Linked DNA regions of Mus musculus. The protein of the gene in region 1 purifies or fractionates together with the protein of each later gene. This does not show direct contact. Links are inferred from orthologs where the notes say so. Each region holds a gene or a part of one and is shown on either strand. Other genes may lie near its edges.

What was found.
Region 2: the proteins of Tnks1bp1 (region 1) and Cnot11 purify together in Homo sapiens (affinity purification with mass spectrometry; 5 studies listed by BioGRID and IntAct, counting the BioPlex papers as one, with this or other methods). This does not show direct contact. The link is inferred for Mus musculus from reciprocal best matches to the Homo sapiens genes TNKS1BP1 and CNOT11.
Region 3: the proteins of Tnks1bp1 (region 1) and Fhl2 purify together in Homo sapiens (affinity purification with mass spectrometry; 3 studies listed by BioGRID and IntAct, with this or other methods). This does not show direct contact. The link is inferred for Mus musculus from reciprocal best matches to the Homo sapiens genes TNKS1BP1 and FHL2.
Region 4: the proteins of Tnks1bp1 (region 1) and Capza1 purify together in Homo sapiens (affinity purification with mass spectrometry; 3 studies listed by BioGRID and IntAct, with this or other methods). This does not show direct contact. The link is inferred for Mus musculus from reciprocal best matches to the Homo sapiens genes TNKS1BP1 and CAPZA1.
Region 5: the proteins of Tnks1bp1 (region 1) and Capza2 purify together in Homo sapiens (affinity purification with mass spectrometry; 4 studies listed by BioGRID and IntAct, counting the BioPlex papers as one, with this or other methods). This does not show direct contact. The link is inferred for Mus musculus from reciprocal best matches to the Homo sapiens genes TNKS1BP1 and CAPZA2.
Region 6: the proteins of Tnks1bp1 (region 1) and Cnot2 purify together in Homo sapiens (affinity purification with mass spectrometry; 5 studies listed by BioGRID and IntAct, with this or other methods). This does not show direct contact. The link is inferred for Mus musculus from reciprocal best matches to the Homo sapiens genes TNKS1BP1 and CNOT2.
Region 7: the proteins of Tnks1bp1 (region 1) and Cnot7 purify together in Homo sapiens (affinity purification with mass spectrometry; 4 studies listed by BioGRID and IntAct, counting the BioPlex papers as one, with this or other methods). This does not show direct contact. The link is inferred for Mus musculus from reciprocal best matches to the Homo sapiens genes TNKS1BP1 and CNOT7.

What each region holds. Positions count from the first base shown.
Region 1 is NC_000068.7:85,056,905-85,060,758, forward strand, and holds part of Tnks1bp1 (182 kDa tankyrase-1-binding protein), read left to right. Parts: intron 1-1,221; coding exon 1,222-2,583; intron 2,584-2,605; exon of another isoform or gene 2,606-3,854.
Region 2 is NC_000067.6:39,542,140-39,545,993, forward strand, and holds part of Cnot11 (CCR4-NOT transcription complex subunit 11), read left to right. Parts: intron 1-260; coding exon 261-463; intron 464-2,752; coding exon 2,753-2,849; intron 2,850-2,929; coding exon 2,930-3,127; 3' UTR 3,128-3,854. UniProt on the Homo sapiens protein: Component of the CCR4-NOT complex which is one of the major cellular mRNA deadenylases and is linked to various cellular processes including bulk mRNA degradation, miRNA-mediated repression, translational repression during translational initiation and general transcription regulation.
Region 3 is NC_000067.6:43,125,770-43,129,623, reverse strand, and holds part of Fhl2 (four and a half LIM domains protein 2), read left to right. Parts: intron 1-1,193; coding exon 1,194-1,380; intron 1,381-3,854. UniProt on the Homo sapiens protein: May function as a molecular transmitter linking various signaling pathways to transcriptional regulation. Negatively regulates the transcriptional repressor E4F1 and may function in cell growth.
Region 4 is NC_000069.6:104,836,738-104,840,591, forward strand, and holds part of Capza1 (F-actin-capping protein subunit alpha-1), read right to left. Parts: intron 3,252-3,854; coding exon 3,045-3,251; intron 1-3,044. UniProt on the Homo sapiens protein: F-actin-capping proteins bind in a Ca(2+)-independent manner to the fast growing ends of actin filaments (barbed end) thereby blocking the exchange of subunits at these ends.
Region 5 is NC_000072.6:17,635,673-17,640,032, forward strand, and holds the start of Capza2 (F-actin-capping protein subunit alpha-2), read left to right. Parts: upstream 1-1,337; 5' UTR 1,338-1,449; coding exon 1,450-1,488; intron 1,489-4,360. UniProt on the Homo sapiens protein: F-actin-capping proteins bind in a Ca(2+)-independent manner to the fast growing ends of actin filaments (barbed end) thereby blocking the exchange of subunits at these ends.
Region 6 is NC_000076.6:116,578,523-116,583,144, reverse strand, and holds the start of Cnot2 (CCR4-NOT transcription complex subunit 2), read left to right. Parts: upstream 1-1,633; 5' UTR 1,634-1,687; coding exon of another isoform or gene 1,688-1,692; intron 1,693-1,940; exon of another isoform or gene 1,941-2,664; intron 2,665-4,622. UniProt on the Homo sapiens protein: Component of the CCR4-NOT complex which is one of the major cellular mRNA deadenylases and is linked to various cellular processes including bulk mRNA degradation, miRNA-mediated repression, translational repression during translational initiation and general transcription regulation.
Region 7 is NC_000074.6:40,498,191-40,502,044, forward strand, and holds part of Cnot7 (CCR4-NOT transcription complex subunit 7), read right to left. Parts: exon of another isoform or gene 3,002-3,854; intron 2,724-3,001; coding exon 2,562-2,723; intron 1,250-2,561; coding exon 1,105-1,249; intron 1-1,104. UniProt on the Homo sapiens protein: Has 3'-5' poly(A) exoribonuclease activity for synthetic poly(A) RNA substrate. Its function seems to be partially redundant with that of CNOT8.

The DNA.
Region 1 (3,854 bases):
ATGAACAGGACAAATAGGAAATGGACTGGGCTGGTGGCCGACTTGAAGCTGAGACTGGAGATGGTGGTGATGAGAGTTATTGGGAAGGGCTGGGGCTAAATGGATGACCTCAGAAGAGTGCAGGGAACGGAACCAAAGGATGCTAGAGAGCTGACTGCTCTCGGAACCACTCTGAATTGTAAAGGTGATGCTGGCAGGCTTTTGGTCATCCAGTGACCACTGTTTTCAAAGAATAAGTGGCTCTCAGGAGACTGATGGGATGGGGCATTAACGATACAGTTTAAAGGCACAGGTTTGGGAACTAGATTATGGCAGGGGAGATTGGGGGTTGGGGTTAGGGGTTGGAAAAGAAGTAGATCCAGCAGGCGATGACAACACTGGAGGCAGTGGCTCAGGCATAGCGGGGAGGGTTCAGAAGTTGGGCAAGTGTCTGTATTCATTCAAATTAAGTGAATTCACTTAATGTGTTTGGGAGAAAGCAGAGTGGAACAGTGCAGGAGAACCAGAAGCCTGGTGCCACCTCTGTCTCCTTCCTTTCCCTGATGTCATCTCCTCTCTCTGTTCCCAGTAACCACAGCAGATTTTTCTTTTTCTTTTATACCGGGGGCCCATATGCATAAATCTTATTTAATCTTTATCTAACTCTGACATAGACGTTGGTATCAGTCCTAAAGTACAGGTGTGAACCCGAGGACCGAAGAGATCCCGTGGAAATGAGATGTTCAACTTATAGGAGACAGTCCAAGGATTGCTAGAAGCCACGTGCCTTTCAGGACTCCCCTTATTCTTTGCTTGAATCCACAGCCTCCGTGCTCCCTTGGGTAGTACTGAGACCTGTGCTCAGAGCAGAGGATGGAGATCCATTCCTCCACTTGGCCATCCTAGGAGATGCTCTGGGCTTGGAATGAACTTGTAGTGTTCTGGGGGCAAGCCCTCTCCCTTCGTTTCATGTACATAGTCAACATTTCCCCCTTCTTCTATTTATAAAGTGTGGGTCATTTGCCCGAGAACTGTAGCCTCTCAGAGGAGAACCTTAGGTGAGCCTTGGGGTTTGAGCCACTGAAACAGTGAGAATGTTGCCAAGTGACTAGAATGTGGCACCTTTTCTGGGGCGATGACCTGGTAGAGGAGCCTTGCTTGAGTTCACCTCCTGAGCCTTTCCCTGTGTGAGTTTAGACTCAGCTGAGAACCGAGTGACAACTCTTGATCTTTCTCTTGCAGGTTTCCAAGACCTGGGTCACCTCAAGTGCAGACCCTGTTTCAGAGCATGGCGGCTCTACCAGTGCAGTCCGCCTGGCTAACATCTCTGTCCCAGCCTCGGAGTCTCCCCGGCTTTCAAGCCGCCCGAGTTCTCCCTGCCATTCTCAACTTTCAGAAACCCAAAGTCCTGCAGCTTCTGAGGCTTCTTCCATCTGCCTCCCTGTGACTCCAGCCTCCCCCAGTGCAGTCTTGCCTGCTGAGCCTCCCGGCCATTCTCCTAGCTCAGAGTTACCTGCTGAGGCAGCCCCAGAAACCCTCAGCCCCAACAGCTCTCCTGTGGAGACAGTCTCAGGGCACCACAGCCCAGAGCAGCCCCCAGTCCTCTTGCCTCAACTCCTGACTGAGGGGGCTGAGTTGCCGGACATTACACGAACGTTCCCCTGTGGGGAGGAGGCAGCAGCCAGGGGTCACACGGAATCTCGTCCCAGCAGCCTGGCTCAGCGTCGTTTCTCAGAAGGCGTGCTCCAGCCACCTAGCCAGGACCAAGAGAAGCTGGGAGGCTCGCTGGCTACTCTGCCCCAAGGTCAGGGGAGCCAATCTGCTTTAGATCGTCCCTTCGGAAGCGGGACAGAGTCTAATTGGAGCTTGTCACAGTCATTTGAGTGGACCTTTCCCACAAGGCCCTCAGGTCTGGGCGTGTGGCGGCTGGACTCCCCACCTCCATCTCCCATTACAGAAGCCAGTGAGGCCGCAGAGGCTGCTGAAGCTGACAGTTGGGCTGTATCTGGCAGGGGGGAAGGTGTGTCCCAGGTGGGACCAGGAACCCCACCAGCTCCAGAGAGCCCCAGAAAGCCTATTTCTGGGGTTCAGGGAAATGATCCAGGCATATCCCTACCCCAGAGAGATGATGGAGAGAGTCAGCCTCGGTCCCCAGCTCTTCTTCCCTCTACAGTTGAGGGCCCACCTGGAGCACCCTTACTGCAGGCAAAGGAGAACTATGAGGACCAGGAGCCACTAGTGGGGCACGAGTCCCCCATTACTTTGGCTGCAAGGGAGGCGGCCTTACCTGTGCTAGAGCCAGCGCTGGGACAGCAGCAGCCAACACCCTCTGACCAACCCTGCATCCTCTTTGTGGATGTGCCCGATCCTGAGCAGGCATTGTCTACTGAGGAGGACGTGGTGACCCTAGGCTGGGCGGAGACGACCCTGCCCATGACAGAGGCTCAGGAACCCTGTAGTGTGTCTCCTGAGCCTACAGGCCCTGAAAGCAGTTCTCGATGGCTGGATGACCTCCTAGCATCACCACCACCCAACTCGGGCAGTGCGCGGCGGGCAGCTGGAGCTGAGCTAAAGGATAGACAGTCACCAAGCACCTGCTCTGAGGTAAGGTGGACAAAGGGAGGGAGGGATGGGGCATCAGGGGTAGGGTGCAGGTGGGCTTCATTCTTTTAACATGGACACCACAGAGGGCTGTGCACCCACATCTCATTATTTGCAGGTGCTTGCAGAACTGCCTAGGGCTGTGCTTAGGGCTCAGCTGTTAAGTTCCAGTCCTGACACCAGTTTTCGCTAGCTGAGCGGTCTTAGGAGTGAAACGTAATTGTAACCTTTGCCCTTTCATAAAAGTGTCTGCACATGCTGCACACACATACACGGGCCACATCAGCCTCAGGTATCTTTTTTTTTTTTTTAAAGATTTATTATTTATTTTTATGTGGTTAGTACTCTATCTGCACGTACACTCGCATGCCAGAAGAGGGCATCAGATTCCATTACAGAGGGTTGTGGGAATTAACCTCTGGAACTCTGGCAAAGCAGCCAGCTCCCTTAACTGCTGAGCCATCTCTCCAGCCCCCCAGGCATCTTAGTTTTTAAAGACAGGGTCTCACTGTACCTGCAGTTCACCCATTTACCTAGTCTGGCTGGCTGGCGAGCTCCAGAGATCCTCCTGTCTCTGCCTCCCCATCCCATCACAGGGATTAAAGACACGTGCCGAAGTCCTTTGGGTACTGGGGAGCTGAACTTGAGTGCCAGTGCTTGTGCTGTAAGCACCTTCATTACGTAGCCTTCCAGTGAACTGGAGACAGTGCCTCATGCAGTGTACAGCACTGCAAGGAGACAACCTGTTTTCCCTGGGCCTATTATGCAAGGGAGTGTTGTGCGGACTTGGAGGGCCTGGGTTCATCTGCTAGGGTAGGTCTGTTACCTGGGCTCAGTTGGCTCTAACCAGTTCCCTGCCCAGGTGTGAGTCAGATACTTTTCTACCCTCAGCCTCAGTCTCTGTGTCTGTCAAAGGGTGTGATAGGCTGTAGCTCAGAGAGTGAGAGGATTAAATGAGTTAGGGCATGTAAAAGGACCGAGGTTAGTGTTGGGCTCATTATAAATGCTTTGTTAAGTGTTGGCTTTTACAACTGGAATTCCCGTTGAGTCCAGGAGCTGTTTTGTAGACAGGCAGCTGAAGCCCAGAGGAAGTGGTGCCTTGTGCAGAGTTACCCAGCGAGTTAGAGTTACTAGCTGGGTCTAAGCCAGGACCAGTCCAGTCGTCGGCTCCGTGCCCTTTCTCCTACCAGACTGCATTTAAGGGCTGGGATCCAGGTGGCTTTTGAGACATATTTTTTTTTTTTTTCAGTCCTAGACTGGACTGGTCGGGGTGG
Region 2 (3,854 bases), on another chromosome or scaffold:
TGTCATAGTGTATATTACTAGACAAAACCAAGGCTTACCACGTCTAGAGGAAGAATGACTAGTAGATTTTTAAATTGTCGCTTATTTTTGTGCCATTGCAATTCAGATCTGAAAATATATGAAGACATAGTATTGGCTTTGAGGGAAGAAATTTAACAAATTAACAAAGACAATTTTTGTAATTTATATAAAACATTTCCATTTGTGTACAGGAAAATTCTCTAACATAACTCAAGAACCTCTCAACTTGTCTTTTTTAGCTCCTCGGTGAGTTGGAAAAAGATCCCAAACTTGTTTATCACATTGGCCTTACTCCAGCGAAACTTCCAGATCTAGTGGAGAACAACCCTTTAGTCGCTATAGAAATGCTGCTGAAACTGATGCAGTCAAGCCAGATCACGGAGTATTTCTCTGTCCTGGTCAACATGGACATGTCCTTACATTCAATGGAAGTTGTAAATCGGTAAGTTCTCATGTCCCACCAGAGCGGGTACACAGGCCCTGATTATATGATCCAGAAGTCTGAAAAGCTGGAGTAGTTTCTCTCCCCTTTCCTGATTCTGTTACCCTGACTAATCTTTGCTGTTCACTGCATATGAATTTGATTTCAATTCATAAGAACTCAGTTGTTGAATTTACTTCACTGTCACGTGCCCCTTACAAATTCAGGTTTTATGTTCCTTGGCAGCCAGGAGTTGCAGCTTGTGCGTGTGGGTCTCAGAACTGGTCATCTAGGCATGCTGTCGTGATTACTAGTATTCTCCCGGCTTTGTTGTTCTGTAGAGCCCTGACTGTCCTAGAACTCACTGTGTAGACCAGGCTGTCCTCAAACTCATGGAGATCCACCTGCTTCTGACTCCCAAGTGCTGGGATCAAAGATGTGGACCAGCACACCCAGTTTCCCAGTTCTTTCTTGATTTTGCTCATTAAACATCAAGGAAAGAATGAATTCCCTGTTGATGTGTTCTGTATAGTTTTTGTCTTTTATTTTCCTTACAGATATTGTTTAGGTAAATTGTGAATTAAATGTAGTGAGAGGTAGATGGGGTATTATTTTTTTTGAGGTTTTTTTTTTTTTTTTTTTGGATAGGATCTCATAGTATCCTAGTAGCTTCAAATTCATAGCAGCCTGTCTGCCTCATTCTCTGAATGCTGGAATCATGGGTATGAACCAGGTTACAATTTTTTGAGCATCCATATATAAGTTGGCAGTTGTTTCAAACTTGAACTAAGGAATGTCTGGTCATCTGGTGACAGCTTGGCTGGTAGCTCTGTGCACAAGAAAGGGCTGGGCGAGGAAAGGCACATGGGTTTCCAGTTACTTTGTAAGACTCTGTCACTGGCAGAGCTGCCTGGCTTCTTGTGGAAAACTTGGTGCTTGCTTCCACCTCTCCTTGCTGGCACCTCCTTTACTATAGTTGCAGTTGCTGGTTTTTTTGTGTTTTGTTTTTGAGACAGGGTTTCTCTGTATAGCTCTGGCTGTCCTGGAACTCACTCTGTAGACCAGGCTGGCCTCGAACTCAGAAATCCACCTGCCTCTGCCTCCCAAGTGCTGGGATTAAAGGCGTGCGCGCCACCATCGCCTGGCACAGTTGCTGTTTTTTGCATTGGCTAAGTTCTGTCTTTGGATGGAGCAATCTGAGTGTTCATGGATCCCCCTCACTGCACTCTTGTAGTTCTGGCTTTTTCCAAGTATTAAGCAGCCTTGCTGATGCAGGTCTCAGTGGGTATGGTGGCTGGTTGTAGCTTTCTTTTCTGTTTGTTTGTTTGTTTTGGTTTTTCGAGACAGGGTTTCTCTATATAATCCTGGCTGTCCTGGAACTCACTTTGTAGACCAGGCTGGCCTCGAACTCAGAAATCTGCCTGCCTCTGCCTCCCGAGTGCTGGGATTTGGTTGAAGCTTTCTTATATTTTTGGTTGTGAGCCTAGCCTTTAACGGCTGAGCCATCTCTCCAGCCCAGTTGTAGCTTTTCTTAAGGTACTTCAGTGCCTTAGTTTAAGGATGCATAGATGTAGAAGAGGCAGCATGTATTCATTTACCTTTTCACACTTGTAGCAAAAGGTTTGCAGTTGCCAGCCCAGTGTTGAAATGCTTCTTGGGCTGAACTTAAACTCAGTGTGGAATTCTTACCTGACTCCATATCTTAGTACTTCACTTACGTGTTTGGGAAGAACTGTCTTGGCTTCAATGACTCTAAGCTTTATTACACAGCTGCTGTTCCTGTGTAATGGCTGACTCCAAGCCTGTTTGTCTTGCTCAGTTCTCAGGAAGGCCTTTTTGCTCCATATCAGCTAAGTAACTTTTCAAGGCTTTTTGCCAGGTTCATGTTTCTTCAAAGCTCTACGTTAGTCTGATTATAGGTTGTTCTGTTTAGTCTATACGTCACCTCAGACACGCTGCCTCTCATAGTGCTTAAACTGACAGGACTTTTCTAAGTTTTAAGTGATGGCAACAACTGCTGGTTATTTGAGGCTTGGAAGGAGGGAGACCATGATTGACAGTGATCCAGCCAGGCACGCTCAGGGATAGGATACTAACTGCTTAATGGATCATCTCAGAGTATAATTCGTGATGCACACTTAACAGAAGCATCAGAGGTTAAGTGCCTGTGGCTCTTGGGTTTAAAACTAGAGAATTGGGTCATATAAATCATTATCAGATGATCACAGGGAAGGCTTGACTTCATGATTACAGTACTTTCCAATACTAGCAAACACAGTTAACAGCTCAGATTTTTCTTTTGTGAAACAGACTAACTACAGCTGTTGACCTACCTCCTGAATTTATTCACCTATACATATCCAATTGCATTTCTACTTGTGAACAGATTAAGGATAAATATATGCAGGTGAGTAATGTAAATGCTTATAACATTGTCATTTGCCAAGAAAAGAAGTTTCTAAAACTTGTTCCTTTTTTCTTTTCCAGAATCGTTTGGTGCGTCTTGTGTGTGTGTTTCTCCAGTCTTTGATCCGTAACAAAATTATTAACGTGCAGGACTTGTTTATAGAAGTGCAGGCCTTCTGCATTGAATTTAGTAGGATACGGGAAGCTGCAGGCCTATTCCGGTTGCTGAAGACACTGGATACTGGGGAAACGCCTTCAGAGACCAAAATATCAAAATAATACCTCACTAGAACTTCCCTTTCTATTGTTCAACTGTATTTGGATTGGTTTTTAAACTTGTAACTCTTGAGTGGATTGCTTGATCTAAGAAATATAAATGACTTTATTTACTTAAAGTAAAATTTCCTTTTTCCTAGATGTTTCCCATGGATGAATTTTGGTGAGAACTTGGGAGAAATGTTTATTTTAGCTCTCTTGCTGATGACAATCCATATGAATAGTTATTCTGAAAATAGTTATTGCAAGAAAGGTGTAGGTGTTGCTCTTTTGAATTTAAAACACAGTACCTGTTTCTTTTAGAAAACAAACTGTAGGTTTCTGAAAAACCAGGAATTTGCTTTCGTAGCTTCTAGTGTGAAGCATGGTCAGTGAGAGTGAGTGAAGACGCTGAGAATTTACGGTGAGCGTGGCTCTTAGTAAGCAAGGTGTGAAACAAGGATGCACATTTCTGACAACAGTGTTCCTGGCCCACTGACAAGCATGGGCACTCTGCCAGGCTGCGAGAGTTGGCATTTTATTCTTCTCTCTTAACCACAGTTAGTAAGGGTGTGGTTTTTGTGGTCTTAAGGACAAATACGAGCTGGCACACCAGAAATGTATACCCAGGATGCCTGTTTGGTGAGGAGGTAGAAGAGTCAGTACCTGGGACAGTGTGCCTTAATTTTTTTTTTTTAAGACAGGGTCCATCTATGTAATTCTGGCGCTCACTATGTAGAGCAGGCTGGCC
Region 3 (3,854 bases), on another chromosome or scaffold:
GCAGGGCCTATCTTCTGTGGCCACTGCACGTCGAGGTGAGGCTCACTTAGCCTCCCCTGACTTCTGATTCTACTCTCCACCATGATTTAAACTCATATGGAGAGCAATATTTGGAGGTTACTGGATGCAGTTGAGGTATGGCAAGCTGTTTATCACCTTGAAGCTTCTTCAGAAACCTCCTATGACTTAAGATAGGGCGAGGATAAAGGCCTTCAGGGTCCCACGCCAGCAGATGCAGGTTCCAGAAAGCCTCTGCCTTTCTGCCTCTCTAGTTACTGTACAGGCTGAGCATGAGAGTAGAGCTGGAGAGGCCATCAGTTGCTGGGATTTGAAGGAAGGCTTCCACAGAGATTCATCCTTTTCTCTTCATCACTCCGACTTTGTAGACAGAACTGAGGTACTGAGGTCTCTAGCTACAGGATCTCAGGGCTGCTCAGAAGTAGCAGTCGATGCCTTCAATGTTATCTCTGACCACTGTGCTACCTTCCTATCTGGGATGGTGACAATGCCCCATGGCACTCATTCCTTCTGTTCCCCTGCACTACTGTGAAACCTAAAGACCCCACATCACTAGGGAGAAAGCCAGGAACCGTAGCAATGGTATGGATGATAACATGAGGTGCCTGGGGTATGAAGTTCCTTTTCTTTTCTCTTTTCTCTTCTCTTCTCTTCTCTTCTCTTCTCTTCTCTTCTCTTCTCTTCTCTTCTCTTCTCTTCTCTTCTCTTCTCTTCTCTTCTCTTCTCTTCTCTTCTCTTCTCTTCTCTCCTCTCCTCTCCTCTCCTCTCCTCTCCTCTCCTCTCCTCTCCTCTCCTCTCCTCTTCTCTTCTTTTTATTAGATAATTTCTTTATTTACATTTCAAATGTTATCCCTTTTCCTGGTTTCCACTCCGAAAACCCCCTATCCCCTCCCCCACTCACCAACCCTCCCACTCCCGCTTCCTGGTCCTGCCATCCCCCTACACTGGAGCATAGAGCCCTCACAGGACCAAGGGCCTCTCCTCCCACTGATGACTGACAAGGCCATCCTTTGCTACATATGTGGCTGGAGCCACAGGTCCCTCCATGTCGACTTTAACAAACTGCATATTTGTTGTGGGTGGGGCTCGTGTCTTACATCATTCATGGGCAACAGCAGTGACAGATGTTTACCAGAAACAGGGGTAGCCCTGACTCATACACTTGTCTCCCCCAGCCTATCACCACAGGAGGTGTTACTTACCGGGAGCAGCCCTGGCACAAGGAATGCTTTGTGTGCACAGCCTGCAAGAAGCAGCTATCTGGGCAACGCTTCACAGCACGGGATGAGTTTCCATACTGCCTGACCTGCTTCTGTGACTTGTACGCTAAGAAATGTGCTGGGTGCACCAACCCCATTAGTGGTAAGTGTCCTGGGAAGGCCATTGCCAGGGTAGAGACTGTCTGCTTCCTGGAACAACATGGACGTCTAGAGTGTTAGCATAAGAGTGTTGTTAATATCTTGAGGCTCTGAGCCCAACAAGCATTTTTGCCTCTGCTGTGTATCCTCAGAACACAGCTGGTGGCTTCCCCTTAAGCCTGGTGATGCAGAACCATTGGCATGTCATTGAGTGTTTCTGCTTGGGTCTGAGTCTATTATAGTCACATGAACAAAATGAATGGTGCATTTCAGCCCCAACAGCAGACCTGGTATTTGAAGTATTCATGTCATCTTAACGAGACTCTTCTAACCACAAACCACAGCTAGGTGGGGACACATTCTGAGTAGCACAGTCCCCAAAGAGTTAGACAAAGTGAGAGCCCAAAATGTGCCTGGTTGACAGACTAGTATTTGGGCTGAGCTATTGAGTATGGTGAAGATATTGAAGGTAAAGACTACTGGCTCCAGACTAAAGCCCTTTGATTTTTCACCATGTACCAATCAGTGGCAGGGGGTGAGAGTGCAAGTATTCTGTCATATATAGGAGTGTTTCTTGAAGTGGTCTTTCCAATCCCATTCATTCAGTCTACCTGTTTTTGTTTGTTCTTCGTTGCTCTGATAAACACCATGATTAAAAGCAACATGTGAAGGAAAGGATTTCTTTTGTCTTACTGTTTATACTCCATCATGAAGACAAAAGGGGCAGGAACCTGGAGGCAGGAATCCAAGCAGAGCCATAGAGGAGTGCTGCTTACTGGCTTGCTCTTCATGTCTTGCTCAACATGCTTGTTTGTATAGCCCAGGACCACTGTCTGGGGTCACACTCTCCACATTGGGCTTGCCCCTCCCATGTCAATCATTAATCAAGAAAATGCCTGACAGACTACTTGGCTACTGGAAGAGGTTCCCTCTTCCCAGACAATTCTAGGTTGTATAGAGTTGACAAAAAGCTAACCAGCCCACATTGCATCATCCCTGATGCACTGTCAGTAGACATATGTGGCAGGAAGCAGAGAGACACAGACTTTCCCCTATAGCTTTGTAGGTAGGGTCTTTCTTTATACAGACACGCTTGCAGACCATTGTGTACCTTGCCTAGAACCAAGTTGTCTTGTTCCTATGGGACTTCCCAGCTGGCAGGCCTTGGTTCATGCTTTATTTGCATGTAAAATTAAAATATACAAAATAGATAAATTTTGTTGAGACATCTGATTCTAGCGACTTAGATACTGTATTTCCTTTGAAATTAGTTTGGGAGGACAATGGGACATTTTCAGTGGCCTGCCCATCTTTGAAGCTGTTTTCCTAGCTTCTGCTAAGGAAATGTCTCCAACACTTTATAATTTATGGAAACGTAGTATGAATGTGAAGTACTTTATATTAGACATGGATGTCTGCTGCAGTTATAGAATTTGGGGAAAAGGTTAGAAGAACCAGAATTCTTCCTTTAAAACAGCAGAATTAATGCTCTGAAAAGCAATGATTGATTTTCAAGAACATATAGAAGAACTTTGAAACTGCAAACTAGAATGTACTCTTAGCTGTATTTCCAAACACTTATACATACCGAGCTTCGATGAGGTTTCTAATAGATCCTTAGTACTTTTTCTCTTCAACACAATTTATACTGCTTTTACGAATAATTGGAAAACACTAATTTAAAATTTTCTATGTGCAGTGATGCTTACTTCTCATCCATAATTGACCACAGTATCGATCCATATAGGTATGCAACTTTAAATCAATACCCAGGTTGCTGGTAGTGACCCACAGATGTGCACAAAGCAGCAGTGGGTTTGAGTTCCCACGCATCTATGCTCTGGCTGACACTGGATAGATGAAGCTCTGCCCCTGTGTTCTAGCTCCCTTCTTCCTTTGTAGCCCTAGCTGTGCTGGGACTCACTCTGTAGTCCAGGCTGGTCTCGAACTCACAGAGATACCCTTCCTTCTGCCTCCTCAGTGCTGGGATTAAAGGCATGCACCACCACTGCCTGGCCTCTAGCTCCCTGCTTAAATAATGTGTCCCACAATGATGTGGGGATTGTTTTTGTCTTTTACATTTTTTGTGACTGGGGGGGCAGGGCATTTCCATGTAGTGCCCTTGAGTATAAGAAGGCAATGTGTCTTAACAGAGGAAACACGTTAGAGAAGGTGTTGACCAGTTTTAATGTCAGTGATTTTAAATTAAATTAAAATGTCTAATATTCAGAGAGAGGCATGCATAGAGTAACATCTTTGGTCATTTGAAACATAATAGAAGATTTTAGAAACCTGCTCTTTCTTAAAAGCAGTAGTTCAGTATTTGCTAATTCAGTCTTGTTAGGGACATTATAGGATATAAAACTTAAAAATAAAGATTGAATATATATATACTATGTATATAGTAAATTATATATGAAGAATCCTAATTTTATATATATATATAGTTTTGTTTGGCTCCTTTTTCCACCTCTTGTT
Region 4 (3,854 bases), on another chromosome or scaffold:
GCAAAGACAGTGAAAAGTCAAAAGTTCAGACTTGCACTACTAATGAATAAATACACTAACAGGGAAAAATGTCCTTGATTTCCTTGTGGGACATAGGTGCAGACTTAGGGGAAGGAGAAAGCAGAGAAGAGGAAGAAATAAGAGGTACAAGGAGGAGTTTAAAGAAACAGAAGTAATTTACAGAATTCATGTGATTGACACAGCTTCACTTCCCTTTAAAGGTGATAGAACTATTTCTAATTCCAGCATGATGGTACATGCTTTTAATCCTAGCACCTGGGAAATAGAGACAGGAAGATGGAAGGAAGCCAACACGAGACTGTTTTAAAATCAAATACAAGAGCTTATGCCTAAGTAATAGGGAATACACCAGAATAGAAAATAAAGTACACGAAGCCACCCTGAAGATAGAGGACAGTATAAAACCAAGAAGAAGGATCCTTCTGCTTCAGATGCAAGTATAATAGAAAGAGAAGGGGGTGGGATAGGGGGCTTGCAGAGGGGAAACGGGGAAGGGAGTTAACATTTGTAATATAAACAAATAAAATAACCAAAAAAAAAAAAAAAAAAAGGTATAATGGAAGGAAGAATAAGGTTTCTAAGTATGGAAAAACAAGAATAAAATTTCAGTCAGTCTCAATTCTAATTAGATGTAAGAGGTTAGATGCTCATCTGATAATAGAAAATGTCTGGAACATGTTGTACAGAAAACGTGACACAGAGTAAGAGAAAATCAGAGGCTTCTAAGGATGCTAAGGATGCAGGTTACTAGGATACTGTAGGCTGCACTGGGGCAATTCTATCACCTTCTGTAGCTCATGTAACTAAAAAGAAAAAAAAATAGAAAAAAAGGTCTGTCTCAATAGGATTCTTAGGTACTGAGCTCTCAGGCAGAGTGGTACAAACCTTTAATCCCAGCCTTCAGGAGGCAGAGGCAGGCAAGATCTCTGAATTTGAGATCAGTCTACATAGTGAGTTCCAGCCCAGTTAAAGCTGCATAGTAAGGCCCCGTCTCAAAAAAGAGACAAATAAAAATGAGGATAAACTTTGAATTGAAATAATGGTAAATTGAAAGTGTCTTTAGATTGGCCAGCTGATTTCCAAGAGAGAATGTATTGTCTCCTTTCCTGAAAAATGTTTAAAAAGGAAATCTGTACTTAGCTACAATGATGTGTTTCCTCTATTATTTAGAAAAGATAAAACATGTAAGAATAATGGCACCTTTCACTTATGTATAGATTACATTGTGCCAGACACGGTCCTAACATCTTTCATTAACTTACTGAATCCTCACAATACACTGTTTTATTATATAAATGAGGAAACTGAAGCACAGAGATGCTAGGTAATTTATACCAAAGGCCACACAACTAGTTAAGTGACTGGTTTAGGATTTAAACCACTCAAGAATTCATAGTGATCTTAACTAGCTATATCCCTATTATATTTGTCTTCTCTACAGATTTAAAAGTCTAACTAGTAACTATGTACTGTATATTTGAAGACTGCTGAGAGTAGACTGTACACAGACACAGACACACAGACACACAGACACACAGGTCAGGTGTGGTGAATGAAGCCTGAAACACCAGGACACAGTATATAGTCTTAGGAAGGAGGATCATCTCAAGTTCAAGGCCAGACTAGGTTATAGACTGAGGCCCCATCTAAACCAACCAACCAACCAACCAACCAACCAACCAACCAACCAACCAACCACCCACCCATCCACCCACCCACCCAGGGGGAAAGTTAATATGTTCCAAGTTTCTACACTCAACTTGGTTATACCACAAGGTATATTTCAAAACATCATGTTATGCATCCTATAAAGATACAATTTTATTTACTAGCTACAAAGTTAAAAATGCAGGCAGGGGGCTGGTGAGATGGCTCAGTGGGTAAGAGCACTGACTGCTCTTCCAAAGGTCCGGAGTTCAAATCCCAGCAACCATATGGTGGCTCACAACCATCTGTAACAAGATCTGACTCCCTCTTCTGGAGTGTCTGAAGACAGCTACAGTGTACTGACATGTAATAAATAAATAAATCTTAATTAAAAAAAAAATGCAGGCAGGCCTGGTGCAAGTCTGGGTTCCCAGCATCTTGGGGCTTCTTAGACAGACAGACTAAAGAGTCATTGTCAACCTAGACTACAGAATAAGTTTCAAGGAGAGCCTGGGCAACTTAGTGATCCTGTTTCAAACTATAATGACAATTGGGGATACAGCTAAGCGGCAGAATATTTGCCTAGCATGTGCCAGTCTCTAGGTTCTGTCTTTACTTTAAAAAACAAAAACAAAAAAAAAAAACCCACAAACAAATAAACATCAAAAAACAAAAAACAAAAACAAAAAGCTAAAAACCCAGTAAGCTAAGCATGATACAATCAACTATAAATCCCACCACCCACTCCGCACTCTCAGTAGATGCCTCATAGTCCAGGCTACCCTCTAACTTTTGTAGAGTGGACAACAGCCTTGAACTCCTGATGCCCCTGCCCCTACTTTCCAAATGTTTTAAGATTACAAGTATATTATCAAACCTGGTTTTAATAACTTTTTGATGGGTAGAGGTGATTTATTGTGAGTAAATAAGAGAAATATAAAATGTAATATATGGATATTTTAAAGTGTTATACACTGAGATTTTAAAAACAAATTTTCTAGGGCTGGAGAAACTGCTCAGTAATTAGGAGCATATACTACTTTAGCAGAGGCCCTGGATTTAAACCCTGGAATCCATGTCAGGCGGCTTAAACATCTGTAAGTGCATGTTCAGGGAACAAATGTCTCTAACCTCCAGGGGCACCTGGGCTTACATGCAATCCCTCCCTCCACTCATACTTAATTAAAAAACAATAAAAGCAAATCTTTAAGAAAGAAATTTCAAAAATTTAGAAATTATTTAAGGAATAAAATAAGGAGATGACAATAACCAAGAGAAAAGAAGTAAAGTCTGGTGGGGCAAAGGTTCAAAAGGGTAAGGTAAGCGTAAGAAAAGTAACTTTAATCTGTTCTCCGAGGGACAGGCAGATACTTAACAGTACAGAAGCCGTTGGAATAATGATCTTTCACATAGGCTCTCAGAGCACTGTCACACGACTCCCTCCAAGACTTCAAGCCTCCATCCACATCCTCTGGCTGCGGGTCACTTGCTTCTTTCCGTAAATGATCAAACTTAAAGGAAATTTGGTTTCTTGGATCTAAAAATCTGCTGTTACCAAGGTCACCATGCTCTGTAATTAAGACCTTCCAGAGAAGAATTACAAATATAAGTAGTTCTATAAAAAAGACAATTCTTATGTTTTGCAAAAAGAAATAATATCCTAAGAAAATTAACTTTTAATTTCTTTTCCACAATGACTTTTAAAGCACGTATCATTTTTATTCTCATAAAAATAAAACAATGTTTTCTTCCTCCCAACAATACCCTTTATATCTTGATTTCTAGCTAATGTATTATCCATGTATATATATTTATACTAGCACACCAATTCTCATGTATTCATTTTTACATATTTTATAAAATTTTTCAGGGCCATTGTATTATTGTGAGCACTTAAGTAATACAGCTACATGGTCCAAAAATGTACTAAATGAAATCCTTTTCGTGTTCCTATCTCCTAAGCAGCAGATTCCTTGAGTAACTTAGGCTAATTCTAAATTAATGTCTCTGCTATTTTTGTTAGACTTCCTCTGCACTGCTCTGGAACCTACATGTCAAGTCAATGGCACTCTTTTTTCCTATGGGTTGGTGGTGGTGGGGAACCCACCTAATATTACCAGAAAGAAGATTTTTTTTTTTTTTTTTTTTTTTGGTTTTTCGAGACAGGGTTTCTTTGTGTAGTCCTG
Region 5 (4,360 bases), on another chromosome or scaffold:
TTGCATGCTGTCTCCACGGGTTTGTCTTCAACTGGACACTTTCAGTTCCCGCACATGTCAGCTTCCTCTTCCTGCTCTCTGCAAACGAACACTTTAGTAAGTCACTTAATGATAGTGTTCTTGGACCCAGATAGCTATTTGAGCTCTTTAGGGTCCTCTTACCTGTCATTTACACACAGCTGTCAGATTGACACCGCTGAGCATGTTCGGTTCATGTCGTGACACTGTCCAAATGCCCTCAAGAGCTTCTCACTTTCTAATTATTGAAGTCTTAACTACTAACTAAACTCTTAGTCCTTGGTAAAAACAAAGTGTGGTTTTCAGACGAGTAGCACTCCTCCTTCCTGGGAGCTTGTAAGAAATATAGATTCTCTGGTTTGCTCAGGCCTGCTGAACTAGCAACTCAATTTTATCAACATTTCCAGCTGCTTCCTGTGTCAGCTTTGACTTCAACCTTCCACCCCCCCCCCTTTTCTTTAACTTGAAGCTTCAGTAGTAGAGTTGCCAGATTTAGCAAATAAAAGTAGGAGACATCCAGTAAAATTTGAAAATAATAAATAATGGTTTTAGAATGCTTTAAATCCTTCATGGGACATTTACCTTAAAAATTGGTTGTATGAAATTGAAATTTCTACTGGATGACCTGTAAGTAGTTTGGACAGCCAGTTCATGAGGGTACAGATCCAAGGCTAACTTAACTTTTTTTTCTTTTTTTTTTACTTTCCAGGAGTACAATGCCTTCCCTAACTCAATGTCTAATTAATAGAGGTGAGCTTAAGAGCATTTTCTTTGGGATTTTTGTTTGTTTGGGTTTTTAAATCTACATTTCTTATTCCTAAGAACTAGCAAAATAGTCTTCCTATCATAAAAGACCAATAAATGTTTTTCGGATGAATAAATGAATATATCAAAAGTAATCTTTCAATTATGGACTGGATTGTGTGTGCCTATTTCAATTAAAACAGTATTTTTCCTAATACTTAAAAATGTTTTAAATTGGTACAGCTTTTCACATTTTAGCTGGCAGCGTTCAGGACTTGGTGGGAACAAAGTCATGGGCTCAGAATGTACTCATCGCCAACCGGGTCCATATGGTCATCGTTGACTAGAGAAGGCACCAGACAGAGCAGGATGACAGAAGATAACCATAGCAATCCCACTTTGGAGGCGCTGCGCACGCGCACAGCGGCGCTCAGGCCGGCGCTCAGGGGGAGGGAGGCGGAGCTCCGGGGGCGCGTGCGCGGCGGCCTAGGCTGAGGAGGCGGAGCTCCCAGGCGTGTGCGCAGTGGCTCGGCTCCCGGGAGGCGGAGCTCCGGGGCGCGTGCGCGGCGGCCTGGGCGGCGGGGCCCCTCCCTTGGCGGGGGCGCGCGGCGCGGAAGACCGCTCGGAAAGGGGGAAGTCAGGTGGCCGCTGCTGCCACCAGCGCCACGGTCTGTCGCCAGAAGGAAGATGGCGGATCTGGAGGAGCAGTTGTCCGATGAGGAGAAGGTAGGTGCCGCGGCGGTGAGGAGCCGGGCGGGCGGGAGGGCGGGAGAGGTGAGTGCCGAGGCGCGAGGGCCGGAGTCTGACCCCGGGCGGGCTCCGGTGGTGGGCCGCACGCCTGCGCTTCCCGAGCGGGGTGCTGCCCGGGCTCCCCGAGGCCGGGCCCCTCCGCTCCTTGTAGGGTGTGTGCTCCGAAAATAGGAAGCGGAGCCCGGCGGCCGCGGGCGGGAGCGGGGGCGGCGGGACCCGGCCCTGGGGGTCCGGGCTCGGGAGCGGCCGACGGCGGAGCGGCGCCGCCTGGCCTGGGGCTTTCGCCGTGAGGCGGGCGGGCGGGGAAGACGGCATAGCCGACCCTCACTTTTTCCTGCAGTTTCTCCTCCCCAACGCGAAGTGCTTCCTGGTTCCCCAGGGTGTTTCCTTCCCTCCGGAGGTCGCCGTCTCCACATCCCGCCCCTTCCCCCCCACCCCCCGCCATCTATTTCTTTTATTAATATTGTCATTACCTTTTTTTTTTTTTTAATTGCTGCTCCCATGTTCCCCGGAAGGCAGTATTGTTCACAAAGACACCCCTCCCTCCCATAGTTATTTTCTGCCCAACTTGGCTGCTTCCCCCTCTTGGGGCAGATTTGGTGACATCCCATCTTCCTGATAGGACCAACTCTGAAGAGGGCGAGCGGGTGCAACTCCTTTTACTGTGTGTTAAATGCTGTGACAGCATTAGGACCAAATGCACGACTCAAGTTCTCACATTTGTGATACGAAATCTGATCATTGAACTAAGGCTCTTGCCCATTTTCTTTGGCGACTGAGGAGACCGCGTACCAAGGGGCAAGTAGTGTGAGGGGGAACGCCATACGTTTTGAGTATTTTCTGGAAAAGACCGGGACGTTTTTTTCAAACTTAGACTTAACTGACATATGAGTGTGCTGCCCTTTGGAAATGTCTGATCTTAGCTTGTTTTTAAGTTCCAAATGAAGTACACCCATGTGGGAAACAGAACTCAGTTCTAGTAGGGTGTTAGAGAAACACTAAGGATATTTTCAGTTGGGACCCTCTCCTTTTATACTGCACCAGAATTAGTGTTCTCTTTCTCTTTGGTTGTTCAGAACTCAGCCTCTTTTATGGTTTTGGAAGTGTTCTGGCTTTCTCGTTTGTGCCCTTGGATGAAATGGTGATAACTTAACAAAATGGGGACAAGCATACCTTACTTTAATTCACAGAATTAGACCCTAAGTCGCTAAAAGTTGCTGTACAGTGTTTACATTTGTAGCATTGAATAGTTTAAAGCTATTTATTGAAAATATACCAGCGCATTACAAGAAAAATAGCGTTTCAGATTCAAAGTTCTTGAAGCGATTTTTTTCATGTTTTGTGTACTTTCATATAATTATTAGGAGGAGCTCAATTGGCTTGGAAGATAGTGAGAAGAGAATTGTTAGGGTGGGAATTAATGTAGATTTGCCATGTTGTTGGAAAGGCCCGGAAATTTCAAAATAAAATGAGAAGATTCCTTGACACCCAGTGTGCTGAGTTTTACAGAGTAGTGTATGAGTTCACCTGCTGGCATAACGTTGGAAACAAATTAATGAGAATTTTAAGCTTAGATTTAGCATCTTTTTGTGACATAGGTAGGAATATTCTGTAGTAACTTCACATACAGATTTTTATAACAGTATTTTCTAATTTAAGAGATCAGTGGTTAAACTTTCTAGTGAAATTTAAATAACCAGTAAATGGAAAACAATATTTTGTCACTTTTATTTCCCAGTAGACTTGTACTGTTTTAGGAAGGTGTTCCATATAGATCAGAAATGGATTTAATTGTGATATTTTAGGACCAGTTCTTAAATCATGCTTCTCTATTTTATTTCCTTGCTTGTGATTTTTCAGGAGTAAGTTTTAAATACTTTTTACATTTCAGTTTTGCAGGTCTAAAGAAGGGGAGGTACTACAATGTATAATAGTGTAGTTTATATGTATTTATCATGTAAGAAAAATGTTCTATTTTCTTTTTTAACTTAAGTTTGAGGTAGATAGTTTTATTATCCTTTACCTGTAAGTAAATTAAGGTTTTAAAGGCCTTATATAGGAGGGAAATGGCAGAGGTGAAATTTAAACCTAAGTTTATCAGAATTCAAGGTTTGCTTGTATACTTAATGCCATTATGTTCCCTTGAAGTTGATTATAGGACTATCCTGGGGTTATATATTGGTTTTCAATTTGCTTATTTTTAAAAAGAAAGCAATGGTTCTTTATAGTATCAGGTTCTAAGTTTGTTTTTTATACTTAGTGAAAAGGCTAACTGGTAACCTTGTGTTTTCACCATTTTTAACTAGTTTATTTTTATGTAATGTGAACATTGTGTGCTACTGCTATATAGTTTCTTACTGCCCCTGTGGAATGAGGCATTTTAGAAATTAATCATAGCTGGGTGTGGCAGAGCAGATTTGTAATCTAAGTACTGAGGAAACTGGGACTGGAGGATCTCTAGTTCTGAGGCCACCTTACAGAAAGTAACAACAAAAAGAGATTAGCTGGGTGTTGGTGCATACCTGTAATCCCCAGTACCCTGGAGGCTGGTCAGGAGGAACGTGTTTCAGCTTAGCTTGGTCTTCTGAGTTCTTTTGAGACAGGGAGACCCTGTCTCAAAAACAAACAAAAGGGGGAAAGTATCTAGGACACTAGACTGAATGTACTGTGATTTTTATGGCTTAGTTTCTTTTGGCCACAGTGTTAATAAGGAAGTAAAGTTAGCTGAAGAAACAATGAATGAAGTCCCTTAAAGGCATTAACTTGCCCTATGACCCTGTAAATTTTACATATAGAAACTCCAAGCCAAAAAGAGTTTTATGTTTTTCTTTCTAAGGTCATTTGAATT
Region 6 (4,622 bases), on another chromosome or scaffold:
TCACGCACATGAGCTGCACACGCCTAGAGTAGCCAGTCTTTGAACACACTACCTTATGGCAGTAGATGCTAACTTGAGAGGAAGAGAAAGCAGACGAGACAGGAAGGCACGGTTGGGGGAGGGGCCATGTAGGACTGTGTTGTTCCTTCTTGAATTTCCCTAAAGTGAAAAACCAACAAAACACAAAACGGTGAAAAGGAGTATTTAATGAAATGAACAACCTAGCAAAATAAACCTTTTTTTTCTACTGGCTACACCAGTTCCTGTCCGCATTTAAACAAATTTGCATATCTGCTGATACTGCATATCTGCTATGTCAAATTACTTTCAAAACCATGACAAAGGTACTTTTAATTTCACCGTAGGCTATTGTATCCTATTTCTTGCCTTTAGCTTTCTATGATAAAAATATATATCGCTTCCGTTTATCACAGAATCTATATCTAACTATATAGACTGGCGGGCTGGAAGGAGGTAATTTATTAAACTACAGCAGAAACTTTATTTACTTCAAATGAGTAGTAATCCGCATTAGTAAGCTCTACCACTCAAACATGAACAGCGATACGTTATGAAACTCGCAACTTCAAAGCACAAAGAGGCTTTTTAGCAAGTTAAGTAACCGTAAAACACGAAGTTTGTGGATGTTCAAAGGTGTAAACTAAGAGTATTACAGCAATAAAAAGTAATTTCACTTTCAGGGACAGTCCGGCTTTGGAGAGCAAAACACTTTAGTTCCCAACCACAGCCACCGTATTTTCAAAAGGTCTAGTGGATGAGCCAGCTGGTCACTAAGGTTTACCAAGGGCGCGCCGGGCGGGAACTAAATAAAGTGCCACAAACACCGTTCGGTTAGATTAAGTACTCCCGGCAGTGCTTTAAAAACACGCTTCCCCCTTACTTCCTCTCACCAGGTTTAGACCGGGGGGGGGGGGGGCAGGTAAAAAAAAGGGGAGCATGAAAAGGAAGAGGGGGCGGCGATCAAACGCCTAGGTTCCAGCGGAGGGGAACTCACTGCTCGGGAGGTGCGGGCGGCGTGCGGCGGGTGTCTGGGGGAGCGCACCCAGGTAGCGCAGGCAGCGGGGCGGTGGGAGGACCGAAGCACCGCAGGCACCGCACCGCACCGCGCCGCGCAGCAGGCTGGGGACAGCCCGGGGACAGCCCGCAGGAGGTGCTCGGGGGCGGGGTGTCCGAGGAAAACACAAACACAAACACGCTGCGCGTCCCCCGGTGGGCGGACCCACGCCACCCTCGGCTTCTCCCCGCCCCCGAGGCCGCGCTCGCCCGCTCGCTCGGACCCCAGGCCGCAGCTCCAGGCGTGGCCGCAGCAGCTCCCGGCGTGGCGGCGGTCTGGCTTCGGGAGCCCGGAGAGGCCGCCCAGGCCCCACTCTCCTCGGTCACCGCCACAAGACAGCGCCGCACCTTCCGCGGGAGGCGGCGGAAGCCCGGGAAGGCTCCAGGCGAGCGTTGTGCTTCTCACGGTCGACTGGCGTACGGGCGGCGTTCCGTCCATTCGGCGAGCCTCGCTCGCTCGCCGGCTTCTGCTGCTGCAGCCGCCGTCGCCGCCGCCTTCGAGCGGAGTCGGAGCGACGGGGGTCACGGCGGGGGTCAGAGGGTAAAGGTCTTGCTCCCAGCAGCCTCCGCGGTGGATACGTCGCCATCTTGGATCCGCGGGACAAGAAAATTCATGCGGTGAGTTTTTGGCCAATTTTCGGAAGTCTGGCGGCGGGGCACGCGGCGGGGGAGGCGGATTGGGGGCCCCCTCAAGGCGGGGGAATGCCTCGGGGCTGGTCCGGTCGCGCCCGGGGTCCGCGGGTAGCGTCCCGGCCCGCCGCTTCCCGTTGCTTTTGTCTCGGCTCCAATCGAGAGAGGGAAGAGCGGAGCGGGCGGGCGGGCGGGCGGGGAGGGGGTGGCGGCGCTGGAGGAGGGAGGGGGTGTGTGGCGGGGTGGACGGGACGTAAAGCGTCGCCGTGCTCGGGCCGCCACCGCCGCCACCACCGCAGCTACCGCAGCCGCAGCCGCTCCGGAGCTTAGGCCCGGGCCCCCGCTGCCCGCCGCGGGGCTTCCCCGGCTCCCGCCGGCGCGGAGCAGCCGCTGCCGCCGTGCTGCTTCCTGGGCTAGGAGAGAAGGCAGCGGCGGCGGTGGCGGCGGCAGCAGCATCCAGGAGCCCCGGCCACTGGACACGGCTCCTGCCTGCCACGTTCCCAGCAGCTGCTGGTCCTTGAAGCTTTACGTTTCTGGCCATACACGCGCATCCTCCGCCACTTGTGTGGTTTTCTTTTCTTTCTTTCTTTTTTTTTTTTTATTTGTTTGTTTGTGTAAGATGGGGACATCGCACTGGCTAACGGGCCTCGGGAGCCTCCAGGCCCTGAGCTATACCGAAGGGGCCTTTCTTGCAAGGTGGAAAGGCGAGAGAGAAACTCAGATGCTGCTTCTGCCCCCGTGCCTGGAGTGGGAAGCCTCTCTAGTGGTGTAGCCTCTTGAGTTCCGATGGTCCTGGGGCGGCGGAGGAGGAACCCGAGCCACTCTTGTGAAGTTGCAAGCCCTGGTTTCTACTTCCGCCGGGCCCCCTCTACCTTTTGCCGTTTTGTTTTAGGTCTTCACTTCAAAGTTTCATAGAAGAAATAAGTTGGGTTAAAAGAAACCCGGTAGTTCTTAATTGAGGTACTGTTTGCTTAGGAGAAAAGCTTATAATTCTTGTTATCTGTAGGCCCTTCGGGAAATCTAATTGTAATTTTATTTTTGTAAAATTATTTCTAAGGTTTTGTTATTTGCATTTACGTTAGATCCAATCAGTACGCTTTTACCTCCAAAAGAAAATAAAAATAAATAAATCTTACACATAGGTACTTTCTTGGAAATCCTAGGGGGACATCTCCACTTTTCAACATCTGGGAAGACAAGTGTTAAGAGTGTTTTGCTTCATTTTCATTAAATCCTTAGTCAAAGATTTCTCTTTAATCATCTGGACAGTTCCTAATAAAATACAGCAATATGATCCTTAGATTATTGGCAAATGGTAGAACGTTAACCAGATCTGTTCACAAGGGACACACTTAATGTTCAAAACTGAATACATTTTCTATTACTCTCTATAGTGAGAAGTTTTAGGGAGATGGAATCGTGTTCCTATAGATTTCCCTTTCCAAATAAGTGGGTGGTAACTTTCACAACAGTTTTATGTTTGGGAATGCTTTGTATATTCAACAACAGTTCCTTCTCAGAAGTCACCTTTGTAGTTTTGTAAGGTAATTTTATTCCAAGTTGGAAGTGTTTAAAAATCCAGTACACTGAAATGGTTGTCTACATTCAAATATTTGTCTGTGTTCAGGTTTTGTGTCTTTAATATGTTTTCTAAATGGTCCCTTGTGCTCTGCCTATCCAGTCTGTTGTCATCTTAAAGCTAAAGGAAAAGTTCAAAATGCACAGACAACTTCTTCCACTTTTCACTTTTGCTGACTTTGCAAGATCCTTAATTTTAAAGTGAAACCTTTTCATTTTTAAAAAAGTGCCTGTTTTTGTTTTTAACTCTAGACCAGAAATAAAGACTGTATTTGACTTTTATTTTTTTATTTTTTGCATTCCTATTAATGCTTTATTGACACACATAAGGTAGTGCATGTGTTGGCAGAGCACTTTGGTTCTCAGATGCAGTCTAGAGATACCTGTAACCTTACCAGATGCTCCAGGCTGAGAGTGGCCTGCACATTAACGTATCAGTAAATACAGCCTTTCTAAAGTGCTTACAAATAAATGGTGTATGGTGGAAAATGAAGCAGATTGATGTCTGTGAGTGGTTTATAGCCTAGCCATCTGAGAACTATTTGATTTGAAAATGAAATCAAACTCCAAATAATAGGCTCCCTAAAATAATAATTACCTTTAATTTCCCTATATAAAGGTAGGTGCTTTTTGGTTTTTCAGAGATGCCTTAGGTTTATTTAAAACTTCAAAAATAAATATTTTATACTGCTGGCAAGTTAGAAATACTAGTAATCGTGTTCTGCTTGTTTCTTTTCTCCTCTTTCTTTCTTTCTTTCTCTCTCTCTCTCTCTCTCTCTCTCTCTCTCTCTCTCTCTCTCTCTTTCTTTCTTTCTTTCTTTCTTTCTTTCGTTTTGTTTTTTCCAGACAGGGTTTCTCTGTTTAGCCCTGGCTGTCTTGGAACTCACTCTGTAGACCAGGCTGGCCTGGAACTCAGAAATCCGCCTGCCTCTGCCTCCCAAGTGCTGGGATTAAAAGTGTGACGCCCGGCAGTCTGCTTGTTTTTAAGTAGGTGCTAATATTAGCAAAACTTAAACTTTAATGGATCATTATAGAATTTTTTTACACGACATGGGATAGTATAGGTTTTTTTTTTTTAATGGCCAAATTTGCTTGATTAGAAAATTTGATTTTTGTATCTAACTAGAGTATGAGTAGATAGTAGTAAACCAGTAAAAATAAGTATACAATTTTGTTTTGTTTTGTTTTGTTTTGAAGTGATATTAAGTTGTAGTATCTTTTGATTAAAATTTTAACTGTCAAATGAATGACATAGCTGACTGGATAAAGGCATTTGACACCAAGCCTAATGATAGAAGTTTGATCTGAGAGACCCATATGGTGGAACAAGAGAATCAACT
Region 7 (3,854 bases), on another chromosome or scaffold:
GAAGTGAGTGAGAGTGTGTGTATCTTAAATATATATATATTTTTAAAAGATTTATTTTATTATTATATGTAAGTACACTGTAGCTGTCTTCAGACACACCAGAAGAGGGAGTCAGATCTTATTACGGATGGTTGTGAGCCACCATGTGGTTGCTGGGATTTGAACTCTGGACCTTCGGAAGAGCAGTCGGGTGCTCTTACCCACTGAGCCATCTCACCAGCCCTCTTAAATATATTTAATGCAATTAATATATCAACATTATTCTGGGCTGGAAAAATGGCTCAGCAGGTAAGATAACTTGGTTGGAAAGATAGCTCAGCAGGTAAGAGCACTTGCTGTTTTTGCAGAGGACACAGGCTCAGCCCCAACACAGCATGGTGGTTCACAACCATCCATAACTATAATCTAGGAGATGGGATGCCCTCTTCTAACCTCCTCAGACAGCAGGCACACATTTAGTGCATATACACATGCAAGTAAAATACCCACATACATAAAATACAATTTAAAGTATCTACAACAAGACAAAAATCCAACCAAGGAAAACACAAAACCAAAACAAACCTTATCCTGTTAAGATAAATACCGCAGCTTTGAAGAGAGATTGTTTATTAAGAATAGGATCAGATAATTTAACTAACTTTTTTCTTTTTTTTGGAGACAGGGTTTTTCTGTGTAGCCCTGGCTGTCCTGGAACTTATTCTGTAGACCGGGCCAGCCTTGAACTCAGAAATCTGACTGCCTCTGCCTCCTAAGTGCTGGGATTAAAGGCATGCACCACCACTGCCCGGCTTAACATAACTTCTAAAACATGGTTTAAAACATTCAGGCCTAAGATATTATAGAAATTACTTGGTCTAAATTGTGCTTCTCAACCTTCCTAATGCTGCATCCTTTAATACAGCTTTGTTGTGGTGAACCCCAACCATAAAACTATTTTTATCGCTTCTTAACTATGATTTTTCTGTTATGAATCATAATATAAATATTTGTGTTTTCCAATGGTCATAATTGATCCCTGTGAAAGGGTTGTTCAACTTCCAGGTTGAGACTCATTGGGCTAACTAATGTGCTAGTTCCGGATAAAGTCATCTGAAGCCTTACTTTGAGATTTTTGCAGCTCTTCATGAGGTACTTCACATCATAAATGACAGGAAAAAATAACCGAAGGATCTCAAAGAAATCAAGTTCTTCCTCAGGCAAGTTAGAGTTGGTCAGAATTTTGATTAAATAGCCAAAGTCATAACCACTAATAAAAAGATTAAAATAATTCAGAAAAAAATACATTAATACCATACAATGAAAGAAATTAGTTTTTCAGATAGAAAGTTAAACAAGTCATACTATAGGCAAAAGGATTAACAATAACGTACACACAGGAACAATGAAAAGAAACACGTCCATAACTACAGTGCAGAAACTGATCACTCAGCATCTTGAACACATGATAGTATAAATTTAACTCTACAGTCACTAAAATAACATTTTTCTGATATGTAAGCTGGAGAGATGATGTTCAAACATGAGTATTTTTGACCCCCAATACCCAAGTAAAAGCTGAGTGTTTTATGTCAACCACACAGACATGCAAGTGCACACCCCAAAAGATAGGTTCAGTAAGGTCACTGCCACAGTGAATGGGAAGGTATGTGAAAATGTAATAAACCAGCAAGACTTAACATGCCAAAGGCAAAAATCATGTAAAACCTTGTCACCATTTACATGAGATGGTGACACTTTCCAATTTCGAAGAATAAATCCCTAACAGAGTATTTCATTTCCACTAAGTGACTTAATTAAGATGTACATTTCCTCAAATGTTTCTATGTCAGTATAACTCTCCGAGACAGTTGTCAATGGAAAAGTTAAATGTGACAGGAACTAAGGAAAAGTAAGAACTGGTTTTTTATACAATACAACCCCCTGCTCCCTCAAACTGACGTCACACATCCTTTATCACGAGTCTTCCCACAGCGGCCTAACTCCTTCCCCTCCTGAAGTCCTCCTGTGAAGGGCCTGTGCCAGCCTTCCCTGAAGCCCAACCCCAGACATCTCCGTACAACAAGCGTTTGCTGGTGCTGACCTTTAGGTTCATGAGTTTCCTCCACTGGGTTAAAGGAGAGGAATTATAGCTATAAAGTATCTTTTTCTTACCTATAATTTAAACTCATTATTTGGCAAATGACCTTACTGAGCCTATCTTTTGGAGGACAAACAAAATCAACTTTTATTTGATGTTTATTATTTTACTTGTAATTTGAAGGAGGAGAAGTTTTACCATAGAAGATCTTTGGTACACGCACCCAAGAGCAGGTATGTGTGGTTTTGGTTTTGTTAAAAGATCCACAGCACTGTTCTCAGTGAGGTACTAGACAGACTCACGGCAGCTAATTCCTTCTAGAGCTAAGCACAACACTGCTGACACAGTAACCCAGACAGACGTAAAAGGCAGATGGGACAGAAGCACACTGCAACCCCTTATTTATTTATTTATTTATTTATTTATTTATTTATTTATTTATTTATTTATTTATTTATTTATTTATTTATTTATTTTTTACCTGTGAAATGATAGCCATTTGACCCCTTCACAAAGAACCACTCCTGAAGTCATAAGAAGTTCTGCAAAATATTGGGTCTCAATTCCTTCCTCCTCGTGTTTTTTAAACTGGATACCAGATGTTGTTAGTAGCTCTATAGAGTCCTGAGCATACATGTCCTCCCTGGCAGGAGAAAGAAAACGAAAGTTCAAAATTCCCATTAAACAGTTGTTCTCCACTTATGCCTACAACTACAATGCAGAAACAAGACAGAGGATTGGTTTATGTCCAACCATTCAAATGCTTCACAATGATCAAGAAAAATAAAATATGAGGTATCCAAAAAGTAAATAATCATTCAAAAAGTCCAATGGTGAGTTCACCCTTAACACCAACTCAATTTCATCAGCTTCTAAACATTACATACATTTCACTGGGCTTAAAAAGGGTCTTTTACTCACCAGAGGCTACCACAGACATGTTCTTTTCAGTCTCTGCAGCTATTTTAGTGCTGCCAGATGGAGCTGTAACCACAGCCATGAGGGGTTATGCACACCTCTCATGCTCTCAGCAGAACCAGGAAGGAGACACCAAGTGGCCAACATCTCTTGTGGCTGAGTTAAACTACATTCCATCTTAAAGAAAAAGGAGATGCCTCCTCTCACAAATGAGGAGCCTTTCAGCGGCTCTAGTTAAGCAGTGAACTGTTCAGATAAAGACTCAGTTATGACATCATTTCTTCTTCAGCAATCACATACCTACATTAGAGGCAAATACAATCCTAGACGACTACCTTAAACCAAGCCAGGAAGCACACTATAAACCAGCTCTTCAAACTTTTACTTAAACCACACAAAAAGCCACCTATAGTTTCTAAGCACAAATACATTAAGTATTATATTAAAAAGTTGAAGATTCATGAAAAAGTATCTTGTGGATTTATCACTTATTTTTATTTACTTTTTAAAAAACCTTAACATTGGTTTCTACCATCAGCAAAAGAAAATTTCTATAAAAGACTTCAATAAAACTAACAAAACCAAAATTAATGTTTGATTTTCATCAGATGTATTTTTGTAGCTTATTCTCTGGAAATCAATTTCAAAGGTCAGTTTAGTTCCCAGACTGTCAGGAACTAAATGACAAAATTAAGAATTGAAGCATCTAAAAACAGAGAGGAGCCACAGTCATCACTTTCAAACATCATGCTTTCTCTTGAAACATCCTGTAGGAAAGATATCAGAATAAATTCAATGCAGGCCCTCCCACTACCCTCGGTTAAATTGTTTGTTATACTAAAAATATGTCCCTTAA